Schizosaccharomyces pombe: one gene and its partner. The gene in region 1 interacts genetically with each later gene. Each region holds a gene or a part of one and is shown in the gene's direction. Other genes may lie near its edges.

What was found.
Region 2: of cdc42 (region 1) and pob1, extra expression of one rescues a mutant of the other (dosage rescue), as found in Schizosaccharomyces pombe (3 studies listed by BioGRID, with this or other methods).

Annotation. Positions count from the first base shown.
Region 1 is NC_003424.3:1,910,965-1,918,156, forward strand, and holds cdc42 (Rho family GTPase Cdc42), read left to right. Parts: upstream 1-5,044; 5' UTR 5,045-5,143; coding exon 5,144-5,191; exon of another isoform or gene 5,192-5,354; coding exon 5,355-5,423; intron 5,424-5,853; coding exon 5,854-6,315; 3' UTR 6,316-6,692; downstream 6,693-7,192. Other genes in the region: serine/threonine protein kinase Ppk1, read left to right, coding at 1-375; mitotic and meiotic cohesin loader subunit Pds5, read left to right, coding at 1,078-4,695; heat shock protein Pss1, read right to left, coding at 7,034-7,192. UniProt on the Schizosaccharomyces pombe protein: Involved in development of cell polarity during the cell division cycle.
Region 2 is NC_003423.3:4,385,488-4,394,354, reverse strand, and holds pob1 (Boi family protein), read left to right. Parts: upstream 1-3,192; 5' UTR 3,193-3,201; coding exon 3,202-3,333; intron 3,334-3,528; coding exon 3,529-6,012; 3' UTR 6,013-6,559; downstream 6,560-8,867. Other genes in the region: PPR repeat-containing protein Ppr8, read left to right, coding at 1-409; vma10 (V-type ATPase V1 domain subunit G), read left to right, coding at 1,745-1,747, 1,795-1,833, 1,881-1,923, 1,967-2,067, 2,124-2,264; Ran GTPase Spi1, read left to right, coding at 7,039-7,164, 7,350-7,536, 7,671-8,008; U2 snRNP-associated protein Uap2, read left to right, coding at 8,798-8,867. UniProt on the Schizosaccharomyces pombe protein: Has a role in cell elongation and separation.

The DNA of each region.
Region 1 (7,192 bases):
AATAAGCCAACTAAGAAACAACACAAGCGTGCATTTAGCATGTTTGAGAGGCCCACTTCTCAGAAAGCCCCATTGTCACCAGTAGAAAGCAAGATTAACCTTATGGTTGCTCCTAAACGTGTATTAAATTGTGCTTCAGATTCTTTAAGAGCTTTATTAGCAGGAAAGACGGATAAATCTTTTTGGGGTTCACGTATACCATTCTTGTTTAATAAATTGAAATCCAAACAGAAGGCTGTATCCAGCTCCTTCAATACGGAAAACTCATTTTTAATTCTTCAAGCAGTTTCGCCTTTAACTTTTGGAGGTTGTTTCAAAGAAGAAAACGCGTATGGGCAGAAGAAGCAGCACATGAGACACGCTACCGTTTTTTAATGTTTGCGTTACGATATTGTATATCTCAACAATGCATGATAATTATCAAACTGCCTGTTTCCTATATTAGTTTTTTAAAAAGATGGCTCTTCGACTTTTTCTTAAGAAAAGCGGTTTATATGGTTATCAATTATTAAAGCTTGAATTGATTGTTTGACAATGTTGAACAATGGGTTTCCTAAAAAAAGACGCTTTAGCTGATTTTTATCGTTTATCAGCGTGTATATTACTTGCCTTGTACTTTACAGTTTCCGCTTTTCATCTTTATTCTAACTTTTTATTTTAATTTTTAATTTTTTGGTACAAGCACCTTTCGTTCTTTAAACTACTTTTAAACTATTAAATTTCTTTCACTCATATGTCCTTATATCTAATTCACTCGTTAATAATATTTTATCATTACCCTTGAGTTATACTTATTAGTAAATAGTGTAATATTTTAATTACAATAAATGGAACGCGTTCTTTTACGCGTCTCTTCTTTAAGCAAGTACATTGCGAGTCTAACACGAACGTAATAAAGAGTTGAGCACCACATTTTGAAATCGCATCTTTCAAGCTTCAATATTGCGAAGTACTAATTAATAAAATCAGCCTATGGCTCTTATGGATATAGAGCATTGAAAGTTTACTGCATTTGTCATTTATTTGTTAAATACCCAAGGTGAATAGTACAAAAGCGTGCAAAAGCCAACTTTTGCGATGATAAAGTTACAGTTTCAAAGAAACATTGTCCCAACACATGACAATCCGTTAACGACTTCCGAGATTTTAAAACGACTACGTGATTTACTAGGAGAGCTTACTAGCCTATCCCAAGATACTATCGACCGTGACTCAGTATTGCCAGTAGCACGATCATTAGTAAATAACAATTTGCTCCATCACAAAGATAAAGGGATACGCTCTTATACACTTTGTTGTATTGTTGAATTGCTTCGTTTATGTGCCCCCGATGCGCCCTTCACTTTATCACAATTGGAAGATATTTTCCAAGTAATTCTCAAAATTCTTAGTGGTCTTATGAATCAAGAATCTACTTATTATCCACAAATTTACGAGATATTAGAGAGTTTGTCGAACGTTAAATCTGCAGTTCTAATAGTTGATCTCCCGAATGCTGAAGAATTCTTAGTAAATATCTTTCGTCTCTTCTTTGATTTAGCGAGAAAGGGTACTACCAAGAATGTCGAGTTTTACATGCTTGATATTATTAACCAGTTGATCAATGAGATTAACACCATTCCTGCTGCTGCCTTGAACATACTATTTGCTCAACTAATATCAGGAAAGGGCGTAAGGCAAACAATTGGCTCTTCCGATTCTACTAATCACGGTCCAGCTTTTCAACTAGCGAGAAATATTTTTCATGACTCAGCAGATCGACTACAAAGATATGTTTGCCAGTATTTCTCAGATATTATATTCGATTCAAGAGATTCGCTTTCTGACTCCATGACTACTCCAGAATTTATATTCTCGCACAATTTAGTTTTACAATTATGGAAATATGCACCAACCACGTTATTGAACATTATTCCACAATTCGAAAATGAATTGCAAGCTGAACAAACTAGTGTGCGACTTGTGGCGATAGAAACTGTTGGTTTGATGCTCCAAGACAACGCCATATGGTCCGATTATCCTAGGGTATGGAGTGCATTTTGTGGTCGGCTCAATGATAAATCAGTTGCATGTCGTATCAAATGCATTGAAGTTGCTTCCAACGCTCTTCAGAATTCATTGGCTACTTCTGAGATAATTGAAAACGTAGTTCAAATGCTTCAATCAAAGTTGGCCGACACGGATGAAAAGGTGCGGGTTGCTACTCTTAAAACGATCGAACAGTTGACTTTCGAAACCTTTAAAATGCAATTTTCAGTACAGGCTTTGAAACTCATGGGTGACCGTTTACGTGATCGTAAACTCAATGTTCGTTTACAAGCAATTCGGACACTAAGTCAAATTTATAATAGAGCATATCAAGACCTTATAGATGGTGTGGAATACTCAATACAGATGTTCAGCTGGATCCCTTCATCTCTTTTGGAAGTATTTTATGTTAATGATGAAACAACTAATGCGGCTGTTGAAATTTGTATGGCTGAACTGGTCCTACAATACCTTAGTTCTGATACGCAAACAAGGTTAAACAGGCTTTTCCTTTCAATAAAGTATTTTAGTGAAAAAGCGATGCGAGTTTTTATTCTACTTTTACAAAGACAAGTTAAGTATTCGGAACTCTTAAATTACTACATTGAGTGCTGCAAAAATTACAATGGAGGTGTTATGGATAATGATGAAGAGTCAATTACCAACAAGCTTAAGAAGGTGATTGATATCATATCATCAAAAAGTTCTAATCCTACATTAACAGAAGCCACTTTCAGAAAATTTGCGGAACTTAATGATCGTCAAAGCTACAAAATGCTTTTACAAACGTTTTCCATTAAAAGTGAATATCAAGTTGTTTTAAAAAGCATAAAATATTTATTTAAAAGGGTTTCTGAAACGTTGAGTACCGCAAGTCTTGAATGTTTTAGAATATTCGTTTACCGTTCAGCTCTGTTTGCTTTTAATAAAAGCAACGTGCATGAAATAATTCAATTATTAAATGAACCTGTAAAATACCACAATTTCCTTAAGCCGTCGGAGGCTCTTTTACAGCATTTACCGCTAATTCATCCCAACATATATGGAGAGGTTGTTATAGAAGTTGAAAATATTATAGTTTCTTCGGGCATTGAATCGGATCCTAAAGTAATTAAAGCTCTTTCCCAATTCTCCAAAAGAAAAAAAAATTTTTCTATACAAACAACAACTGCTGAAATACTACGAAAGTTGTGTCTACATGGAACACAGGAACAAGCCAAACAGGCAGCGACGATTATCGCTATAACGGAGACGAAAGAATTCAAACTCGATATGATAACGAATATCGTGGAAAATTTGGAGTATAATGGAGGACTTCCTGTACGGCTTATGACTTTAGGACAACTATTTCTATACACTTTAGAAGAGGTAGAGAAGGTTGCTGACCAAGTTACAGAATTTTTAGTAAAAAAAGTTATACAGCGCTTTCCTGAAAAATATGATGATACGCATAATGATGAGGAATGGTGTACTTACGAAAAATTAGATAATCTTACCATGTGCAAAGTTTTAGCAATTAGGGTTTTGGTTAATCGACTGAGGGCGGCGGCAGGAGGAACCGAAGCGTTAAATATTGGAGCTCCTATCATTAAGCTATTGAAAGTATTGTTAATGGCTGACGGTGAATTAAGTCCGTTCAAGAATACTCCCAAAATTTCTCGTGCTTATTTACGTCTCACTGCTAGCAAATATTTTTTAAAGTTATGTTCCATTCCTTTTTATGCGGAACATATAGATTTTAGTTCTTACGTTCAAATCTCCTTATTATGCCAAGATGAAAATTTTGACGTGAGAAATTTATTTTTGACGAAGCTTCAGAAGCAGCTGCAACTTAAAAAGTTGCCAATTAGTTATTATCCTTTATTGTTCCTGACTGCTGTTGATCCGGAAGAGGAGATCAAGACTAAAGCGTCTATATGGATACGTTCTCAGGTTGCTTTTTTCCAGAAAACCCATGATTTTACCATGGAATATGTAGCAACATATCTTATCCATCTTCTCTCTCACCATCCAGACATATCTTCGATAGAATCAGAGAACTCGCTTGATTTTATTGCATACATTCGCTTTTACGTTGACACTGTTGTTAATAGTGAGAACGTCCCAATCGTTTTTCATCTAATGCAACGCATAAAACAAAGCTATGATGTTATTGAAGATGGAAACAATTACATTTATGTGCTAAGCGACATGGCTCAGAAAATATTGCAGGTGAAATCCCAGAACTTTGGATGGAGTTTGACTACGTATCCAAAGCAAATTAAATTACCTTACGAAATTTTAAGACCAATTCCCTCTATAGATGAGAAAAAGAGAATTTTCAATAAAATCTTCATAACGCCTAAAATGGAAAGTCAGATTGAACATGCTATAAGGACACCAGTCTCATCTTTTGCGAAACAGACTACCAATAAGCACGCAAATTTGAAGCAAAAGAAGACTCATAGCTCAAAGAGCGATAAAAAATCGTCTAGAAGAAGGAAAAACGAAAAAAGGAGAAAGCTAAATGAGCAGAATCCTAATATTAGGAACGTGCCAGAACGAAGTAGCTCAAGATTTCAAGGGATTCGTATAAATTATTCGGAAGCACCGTCTTCAAGTGAGGAGATAAGCGAAGAAGAGGAGGAAATTAGCGAAGAAGATTTTGATGAAATAGAGGATTTATAAAAAAGGCTTATTTGGATGCGAAATACCGATACTAGAACACTTACCCAATATTACCAATGAATTTTCAATGTTAATTAGATAAATTGCTATCTTTTTTGTTAAACAATCTATGCTTGCTAATTGCCTAAACTTTTGAAAGATGACTCCATCACATACATGCCTCCATAACTTCTGCATCTATTAATTTTTTTCATTCCTAGTAATATAATAATAAAAGTTGCATTTTTGAGTTTTTTTACGCTTTACAATTCGTAAAATCTAATAGTGAGATTGGATTAGCCGCTGTAGTATATCTTAATAAAGCATGGCTGGGCGAACTAATTACGGTGACCGCACAATATATTTACCTACAACCAACACCGGTGTTTGATACTTAGGGGTTTGAACTTTCTAGGAATTCAATAAAGTGAAGCAAAGCTTTACGATTAATTATTTTTTGTGAAATAGTATGCCCACCATTAAGTGTGTCGTAGTAGGAGACGGTGCTGTAGGAAAGGTGAGTTGATGTTTACGGAAGGTGAAGTTAAGCAATGCATAAAAAAATACAAGAATTGCTATCATCTAAAATGAAGTTTCTTTTGTCTATACATTCCCCTTTATTTCTTTCTTTCCAAAAATTGTTCTTTTGAGTTTTACACATACTGACCGTTTGAATGTAGACCTGTCTGCTTATTTCCTATACTACAAACAAGTTTCCTAGTGACTATGTGCCAACTGTATTCGATAATGTAAGTATAATTAGTTGTTTATGGAATGAAGTACTTGGTGAAGTTTTGTCCCCATATTAGAAATTTTTTACTATTCAAATGTTCGGTCACGGAAAATTTTGATATAAGGCTTTTTGTCAAAAAAAGGCTGAAGGATTAAACAATGACTCAATGTATTTATCGATTTTATCTCAGAAACTATTGAAAGTTTAATAATTTTTTTTTATCCGATGCTTTTTTTTTTCCACACTAGATCTAAAGACCGTAGGAAGCCTTATCTCGTAAGGAATAAGATGAGGCGACCACTTTCTTTCCCAGGAAGATTTGGTCGTTATTATTTCTGCTATTTGCTATATTGGGGACTATTCTAACTTTCTTGTTGCTTTTACTCCCGTTTTTAATTGATATAGCTGATTTTCATTTTATAGTAAAGATTTACTGACTAAAATAGTATGCTGTCACTGTCATGATCGGTGATGAACCATACACTCTTGGTTTATTCGATACCGCTGGTCAGGAGGATTATGATCGCTTGCGTCCTTTATCCTATCCTCAAACAGACGTCTTTTTGGTTTGTTTTAGTGTAACTTCTCCTGCCAGTTTTGAAAATGTGAAAGAAAAGTGGTTTCCCGAAGTTCATCATCATTGTCCGGGCGTCCCGTGCTTAATTGTTGGTACCCAAATTGATTTACGTGATGACCCTTCTGTGCAACAGAAACTAGCTCGCCAGCATCAGCATCCCCTTACACATGAGCAAGGTGAACGATTAGCTCGTGAGTTGGGTGCTGTCAAGTATGTTGAGTGTTCCGCTTTGACCCAAAAAGGGTTAAAGAATGTTTTTGATGAAGCTATTGTAGCCGCTCTTGATCCTCCTGTTCCTCACAAGAAAAAGTCAAAGTGTTTGGTACTGTAATTTAACCCCTGGTTTTCTTTCCTTTTCCGAAATTTCCTTAATACAGCTAGTTTACAACAGTAAACAATGTCTTAGCTTTCTTTAACGATCCCTCATATTTGCAAAGATATTTGCTATTTGTTGTTTTCATCCTAGCTTTTGTGCTTCTTCATTCATTCTGTCAATCACACACTTCTTGGGCTTTACATATCTGTGTTTTCTGGCTAGGCATATTTCCTTTTTCCGTTAAATAAACGACGATTTTGCTATACTTTTGCTACATTATTGTATTCTTCTGCCATTACTCGCAGAATTCGGTATGGTCCGACTTTGATTTTAGCTCTAATATTAGTGTAGCCAGGTAATTCGCAAATAATATTATTTCATTTGTTAGAAAATAAATCGATAATTTAATCATTTTTAGGTGATACGATTATGTTGACTCATTTGCTCTTGTCGCTAGAGCATTAAAGGAGAAAAAATGGATCTACAGTATTGCTTAAATACATGTGATTATTTTAAAGCTTCTGCAATAGTTTGTTTTATTAACAATGACTATATTTTAACTTACTTCCAGTAATTCTGATAAGAAAGATATCTAAATTGAAATGTATCCTACCGAAACCCAGTTGAGATTCGATTTTACGAAGTTTAAACATACCGCGTAAATGAAATTCTCGCATAAAATAGGGAAATATTAAACACTACACTAAACCTAAAGAATAATATTCTTCCATTTTTACTCCTTTTGCTCGTCAATTTCCATAGTTTCAACTTCTTCGTTTTCAGGAGCTACTTCCTCAGCAGGAGGAGGAGGAGGAGCACGACCACCGGTGCCTTCCTCAAATTTTCCTGAAGGCTTTTGCTTTTCAGCTTCGGATTTAGTAGCGGCCTTGGC
Region 2 (8,867 bases), on another chromosome or scaffold:
CGACTTTATCACTACGTTTATCAACAAGATGTCAGATGTAAAGGAGTTCAAACCATCCATTAGTACTGCCAACACCTTGTTCTCTATTGCTAGTCGTTTAAAGGATGTAAAATGGCTTTCTGCTGGATTTGATATGATAGACAAGTACGGGTTAAAGCCTACTCATGTCACTTATCGGTCATTATTGAAAGCATACTGTTTATTGCCAAGCACATGTGAGCAAATTTCGCAGGCTTGGGTAAATCTTGAGTATCGTCTTGAAGCTATTTCCATTTCTGTTGCAGATAAAGAAATAAATCTCCTAAAGGACTGCATTCTATCTCAACCTGACAGAGATGATCAACAAAGTTGCCTGCAATTTCTGAATATGGTGCTATCAAAATACGGTAAACATATACGTTCGCCATAAATTTTTTTGCACTTTGGATAATCTCATATAGTTCTTCCTTTTAACGAGATTACGATTAAATGTGTACATCACAGCCATATTACCTGCATGCATTAAAGTTCAAAAGTGTTCACTCCCATCTTTTAATATGTCCCACACTTTCACAAATTGAGTTATTTATTTTATTTAGGAACGTTTCGGTGGTGATTTTTGATTTTCGTTTTATGAAGTTACCTGGATGGGTTTAATTGTTTACCTCTTTGATATTTGTTAATTTTCCTTAACGTACATACTCCTTTCTGTTTTTTGCTATAGCCATCTTTTATATTAAATATATATTTTTTTATTCCAGATACAGGTTTTGTGTTCGTCTTAATAGTTTAGCATCTAAAAACACCTGTTTATTCTCAAGAGATATGGATAGTTTGAAATACTTAGAAGCTTTGCCTGGTTTATGACAAGTACGAAAAGTAAGGGATTTAAACCGCGCTAAGTTATGCTGTTAAAGACAGCTTTAAACGAATATTAGAGGATATTTTTCCCGGTATTTGTAGGTATGTCTTGCTAGTGGAAAATTTGTAAGTTAAATTATTATCACTATATTTTAATGCTTTATATGCACTCAAACAGCTGGGGTCGGTGTATGTCATTGTATTAATGTGAGACCAAAGTGCTTTATTGTACTCTATGAATCACAAATTTTGCTTTACATTAAAGTATTAGTTTAAATTTTAACTGCTTATCTCGCAAAAAATACGCTGCCTAGAAAATATACTAAGTTTAAAATAGTAATTCATTTAGGTATGGTGGTTGTTAAAAAGAGCATATAAATAGAAAAATTTGATGTTTTGAAAGTAATGTCTATAAAACATAAATGAGTTATGTTTAGCAATGCTTATATTTGCAAGGATGCTGTATACGCCGTAACAGCATTATTAGATGCACTTGTTAAATTCAGTGCTGCTCGAACGTACTATCATGTAATATTGTAAGATTCAAATGGTTTCTGCTATCTGTTTACTTACAGTTCTTGATCATATGCCTAAAAATGTAAAACAATACCGAATTTACTTATTAAGTTCCAGTTCACCTGAGCAAACAACGGCGCGTTGCCCAACAATTATAACCGAGGATAGTAAGAATCTGATTTTATTATATAGTATCCAAATTTAGGAGCAAACATTATTTCAATCAAAACATCGCATCTTACCATATCGTTAGCGAGTTTAAGAAGATACGGAATTAGTGGATAGCAGAGTAGATAGAGTACGTTACGGAGATCGAGTAGTTTATCAAACCAGTATTACTTCTTCGACCATAGACCCTTCCTCAAGTACGATTAAATTTACAGACATAATGGTAATTTGTATTTTTATTATAAGGAGCAATTTCTGACTTCTTTTTAGAGTGCTCAAACGAATTCTGGTATCCAACAACTTTTAGAGGTAAGTTCAGGTAATTCCAAGATCGTTATTTCTAATGAGATATGTAGGCTGAAAAAGTTGCTAGAAATATAGTCGAAAAGGCTCGCCAACGTAAGTTTAATCAATCGGAGCAACGTTTCTAAAAGATAAAAAGATCGCACTCAAAGATTGAAGGATGCACGTCTTGAGGCTAAACGCGAAATTGATGAATACGCTTCCAAGAAGGAAGAGGAATTCAAAAAGTCAGAAAGTCAGGTAAAGTTATTCAATACAGTTTTTAAGAGTTTGGACAATCAATTTTAACATATCAGGCTTCTGGTATATATAGTCAGGCTGAAGCGGAGAGCAAAAAGCAAGTCCAGGACACATTTGCAAGTATCGAGACAAGCTCCCAGAAGAACTCTGATAAAGTGGTTGATGCTATTTTATCTATAACTTGCAATGTTAAGTAAACTTACTGTTTATTACTAAATTTTTATATACACATTCTTACTATCCTCTGAAGGGAAAACTGTATTTGCAATTTTTAGCAATAAATCACTTTAACGGTAATCATCTAATATTCCCATACATGTATGAAATATTTGCAATTATTAGATCGTAAAGGGTATAGAATTCTGTCTGCGAGGGATGCTGTTAAATAATCATGCATTCAGATAGCTAATGATTCTTATTAAGCAAAATCATATAGTGGACTGTTGATATCCCAGGAATATGGTCAAATACGAGTTTAGCTCATTTTTTATTTTAGTATTGTGAAATATTAGCGAAGTTATCCAATAATTACCTTCAACCGTAGACGGACCTTGTATAAATAATAAGTTACCTGGTTAATACTCGATCGCATTTCCATAATACCTTTGTGGTAGATCAAGTCAATCGACCTCATTACACACGTGAATAAATAAATTAGATACATGTATTATAGTAACTATGCAATTGTCACCCTCATCGTTATACTAAGCGTATTTCAATGGAAACGTAAGCATAATCACAATTCTTAGTTCTTTGGTCCTTCATTTATTCGTTAATATACGAAGATGAGACATTCTATCCTTTGCCTTCAAACGTACCGACATGTATATTAGAAGAAATAAATAAAACACCTATTCAACACCTAATACTACTATTACCCCCACGTAAGTACTGGTTAAACCATGACTAGGTCAAAACACATTCTGCAACACTCTCCTAATGTAATATAACAGACTTGCAGATTTCAAAAAGCAAAGCCCCCACGAAGGTCGTCTTTCCCCACATAGATTATTATCGTTAAAGTGGGCTAAGCCAAACACGGTAAACACTGTTTTGCCAGCCATCAAGATTTAAGCCTTCGATTACAACACCGCATAACCACATAGCTGTGTTTTTTCTGCTTTTACCACAACTATGGCAAGTCAGCGGTTCGTGATTGCTTTGCATTCCTTTCCGGGGAAGAGTAGTGATGAACTTCCGTTGGTTGAAGGTCGGAAGTATCTGTTGATAAAGATGGATGAAGAATTTGGTGATGGTTGGTGGGAAGTAAGTATATAACTTCGAAGTCAAAATCCTATTATTTTTATTCCTGGTATATTTTATAATTTGAAGGATTCTTGATGCCTGCTTTGTACAGTTTTCCAATCCACATAAAGATGCAAACACTATATGTCAAAGTTGCATGCCCTTAGGATTGTGAAACCTTGATATATTTTTATCATACTAACTAAGTTTTAATAGGGAGAAGATGAACAGGGAAATAGGGGTATTTTTCCTGCTTCGCACGTAGAATTGATATCTGATGAGAGGTCTGACTCAAGTGATTCAAGAAGAGGCAAAGAAGATTTCTCCATTTCTACCGCGGAAGTCACAAGATCCTCTTTATCAAGCAGCCGGTCAACTTCTTCACGATCGGACAAGGACAGTGAAAAGTTGTATTCGAATAATTCCTTGTCTTCAAGTCACTCATCAATCTTAAACGGCCCCCTTGATAGTCTTTCGAAACCTTCGGTCCCTAGTAATTTTAACTCAATGTTTCCATCTTCTAAACAAGAAGGCCCTTCCCCTTTGTTGGATAACCAACCTTCCTCAGATCTATCAAACTTCAACACTATTGATGCCGATTATAATAATGCTTCTGCTTCTACTTCTGCTCCTGCTACTTCAGCAAGCTTGAAAAAGGTTTTGTCAGCTGAGGATTCCGTTAGAGAAACTATTACAGATATTGAAACAGCTTTACAGAATATGTCAACTTCAGCATCTCGTACTCCAAATGACAGTTCACCTTTGCCCTATATTGAAAATCGACCTGCATCCTCTCTTGCTGTTTCCGAAAAAATTCAAAATGTTCCTAACTGGTCTACGGAAGAGGTAGTTGAATGGCTTATGAATGCCGGCCTTGGATCAGTAGCTCCTAATTTTGCGGAGAATGAAATAACCGGTGAAATTTTATTAGGCTTAGATTCCAATGTTTTGAAAGAACTTAACATTACTTCTTTTGGAAAACGTTTTGAAGTTTTACGAAAGATCCAACAATTAAAAGATTCATACGAACAATCTTTATATGAAGAATATCCGCAGTTTGCTGAGCCTATTTCTGTTAGCCAAAGTTCTGATTCCTCCTCTTCTATTCCAAAAAAATCTAATGATGAAGCCGGCGGTTCACCATCAAAATCCAGTCCAACTCGTCCGGGATTTAACGATTATGTTAATCGTCCGACTAGTGTGATGCCTTCTTTGTCAAATATGATTGTTTCACCTGATTTGGACTCATCTCCATCTACCGATTGGAACCAATACGTGATTCCTCCTTTAGCCACACCAAGTTCGCGCAATTCTAAGTCTACGCAATCTGCGGTCCCTGAAAATGTATCTCGTTTTGATTCTAACGAACCTTCGGCCACATCACCGATATTAAAACGTTCATCCCCTACGGACTCAATTTCTCAAAATAGCGGTTTACCTTCTCGTCTTACTGAGCCCATCTCTTCTCCTTCTACCAGTAGCATTGATGTTGATAAGGAAGGAACTTCATTTCCTGGTTTACCTTATCATTCATCTAAGGGCAACTTGTATGCTCCTCAACCATCTTCTAACGTTCCTACTAAATTTACGGGCGGTGCATCGGAATCTTCTTCCGTACCTCCTAGACCTATTCCAAGTGCTATGAAAGGAAAAGCACCAGCTTCAGCTATATCTATCGAAGCTTTGGAAGAATTGGATCCTCCAAAGATTACTACTATTGATGGTGAAAGTCCTTCATCGATAAGTTCTCGACTCCCTAGTAGCAATCTCGAACAAGGGAGTTCAAGTTCTGTTACTAAGTCACCTGAATCAATGCCAGACCCATCAGCAAAAGCATCATCGCCTGTCACAAGCAAAGGGGTGTCCATAAACGAAAAATCCGCTGTTAATAATTATGCCACTCCTCTTTCAAAACCTCAACCCAAAGATACGAAGGGCTCAAAATTAGGAAATACTTTTGTTGCTCCATCTCCGGCTGCTTCCTTACCCGCTTCACCTCCAGTCGGCACTGAGTTAAAGACTCGTCCAACCCTTCGTTCTGTTGCTTCATCACCATTAAATAAAGAGCCAATAGGTAAACGAAAGTCGAAACGTGATATTTTTGGGAGACAAAAGGTTTTACCTACTGGAATTAGTGAAGGATTAAGTAATATACCTGCCAAAGAAGCAATTAAAACGGCGGACTGTCATGGTTGGATGCGGAAACGTAGTGATCGTTACGGTGTTTGGAAGTCTAGATACTTTGTATTAAAAGGAACAAGGCTTTCTTATTACCATTCATTAAATGATGCTTCAGAAAAAGGCCTAATTGATATGACTTCTCATCGTGTTACGAAAACCGATGACATTGTTCTAAGTGGAGGCAAAACTGCTATCAAGTTAATTCCACCTGCTCCAGGTGCCGCTAAAGCAGCAGTTATGTTCACTCCACCAAAGGTTCATTATTTTACTTGTGAAAATAATGAAGAATTACATCGTTGGTCTTCGGCTTTTCTCAAGGCTACTGTGGAACGCGATATGTCGGTACCTGTTTTGACAACGTCGAGAATGCCTACCATTTCACTTAGCAAAGCTAAAGAACTTCGTACTAGGCCTCCTTCTCTATTAATTGATGATGAAAATGAAGCAAATCTCACTTCTTCGATTGGATTAAAGAAGAATGCAAAACAAAAGAATAAGAAATCAAGCAAGCAAAAATAAATACCGACACTCCTCAAAATCCACAAAAGCAAAGTGCAACACATTCCAATTCTAAAACCTGCGCAACAGACCCTGTTCTTAGTATCTGGTTTTCCTTAATCTATTTTCAAACTAAATATCCCTTCAAAATTGAAAACATAGCTAATATGTTTGAATTTTAAATTCGTTGATGCTTTTACTGCGGACATATTTGACACCAATTTAAGAATTAACCGGGCATATTTGATACGCTCATTTCGATTCTGGTTTACCGACATTTACTAGCGGAAGCTATAGTATCTTCATCATGCACATATGGCTTATTTAACGTTGAATTATTTGCTTTTATCTTTTATTGCATAAATTTTTAAAAGCAAATGCATCATTCTATTAATTCAGCATTTTTTTACTGATAATTTTCATTTGTTTGTCGACTTCCTACCACTTTCGTTTGTTTTATTTTTAATCTTTATTTCGATCATTTCGATCCAGCTGAGTCCACGCTGGTAGCGGACCTGGATCATTGCAGAATTCGTAGGCCTTTTACTAGTGATACTAATATAGCTAATGAAAATTTAGAATGTTTGTTTTCTATGTATGGGCATTCCTGGCATTCCTTGGATTAGCAAATACGTTTTCTTGGCTGCGGTTTTTTATCTTTACATGCAATCAAAACCGTGTAGTGACGTCCAAAAAGTAAGCATTGGCTGCTTGTAAGTTGTGTATAAACCCAGAATGTATAAGCAAGTACGCACAAATGTAGCTTTTCGTAGAAGCAATTCTTTTTTGAAATTTCAAAAACGACACTATATCCATTTTTTGGCGATCAACTTCAATAAGAGCAATAGTCAAACTCGTTAAACAATTCGTTAAATCGGCATTAAAAAACTATACCATACACTCCCTTTTCTGTTAAATTCCAATCGACTATCAGGGTTAGGGTTTTGTTATACCCAGGTCTTTTATTCATATAAAAATTACGCACCACTAAAATTTTCCTTTAACCAAACTCTCAGTTAGTTTAGGTGCAACAGAGAAAAGTTTAGTATGGCTCAACCACAAAACGTTCCTACCTTTAAGCTTGTACTTGTCGGCGATGGTGGTACCGGTAAGACCACGTTCGTCAAGCGTCATTTGACTGGTGAATTTGAAAAGAAGTATATTGCAACTTTGGTACGTTTTATGATTTTACTTTATTAGAACAGTTTTTGTATACCGGAAACGATGCCTAGTATCGTAAATAAATGCCATCTTTTTATGAGACATACAGTTATCTGTACTCGTGCATCATCGGTTTTCAGTTACTCTTTTTATGCTTAGATCTTTCGTTTAGAAACAACAGTCTAACATATTTTTAGGGTGTTGAGGTCCATCCTTTGCATTTTCATACTAATTTTGGTGAAATTTGCTTTAATGTTTGGGATACCGCTGGTCAAGAAAAGTTAGGTGGCCTTCGTGATGGTTACTATATTCAAGGTCAATGTGGTATTATCATGTTTGATGTTACTTCCCGTATTACCTATAAGAATGTTCCCCATTGGTGGCGTAAGTGATATTTAAGCAAAAAAAAGCTTTAAATGTTTTTTTTGATACTCATAGACCGCTAGATTTAATGGTTATAAGTATATTGACATTAGCTTTTTTTGACTACTTTAATGAACATTACTAATCGAATGCAGGTGATCTTGTCCGTGTTTGTGAAAACATTCCCATTGTTCTTTGCGGTAACAAAGTTGATGTTAAAGAGCGTAAAGTCAAGGCTAAGGCTATCACTTTCCATCGCAAGAAAAACCTTCAATACTACGACATCTCCGCCAAGTCCAATTATAACTTCGAAAAACCTTTCTTATGGCTTGCCCGTAAGCTGGTTGGCAACCCCAACCTGGAGTTTGTTGCTTCGCCTGCCCTTGCTCCTCCTGAGGTTCAAGTCGATCAGCAATTGTTAGCTCAATACCAACAGGAAATGAACGAGGCTGCTGCTATGCCTTTACCTGATGAGGATGACGCTGATTTGTAAACCAATTTTTTATATCTTTTTTACGTCTCCCTTGCAGATAAAATACATTGGTTCCTGGCCGATGGGACGGTTCCGGTTTCGAAAAAATACCCCTTCTTTTCCTTAAATAAAACTTATTAGTATTTTTCCACTCGAAAGAATTTATTCATTAAGCTATTCCGTTGGGGTTATTTGAAATAGATTATGTTTAGTTTGATATGTTCATATCACTATGTGTGGTAAAAAGTGTAAATCGTATTTTTTAAGTTAATTGTAATTTTGGTAACTTCATTTTTAGAAATACACATTTGTTGCCTGTATGTTTTGTTTCAGTTTAAAATTGATATTGTGTGCGACTGATGGACAAGTTCTGGCATACCAAGGAAGATTTTTTGAGGACTAGGATTAGTAAAGAAACTATGCCTGCCTATTTATTGATTTATCGTCTTAGTTTTTTTGGTAGTTTTGGCATTCAACAACATAGGTATGCGAGTTGCGTGCTGTTAGCCGTAGGCAAATCCCTAAATTGAAAACTAAACTAATACTTTTGACTTGTGTAACGATAGGTTACAAAGTGTATGCGTTAATGCGAAAATTCAATGCTACTGGCATTAATAAGAATATTGACAATCAATACATTAATTGTTTACCTCAATCTCTAAAGAAGCTGTATTTTGTTCCATACATATTATACAAAGCAGTGACATTACTCTACATATATATTGTGGCGTTGTTAGAAATCGTTATGTGAAAACAATCGAGGTCATTTTGAACTTTACCAAGTTATAATCGTTTTAGAGCTCGTAGATTATGTCCAGCCAGCCTTTTTGGGATGAAAGAATACATCGTTGGAGATGTTTAGGATCAGAAGGAAACGAAT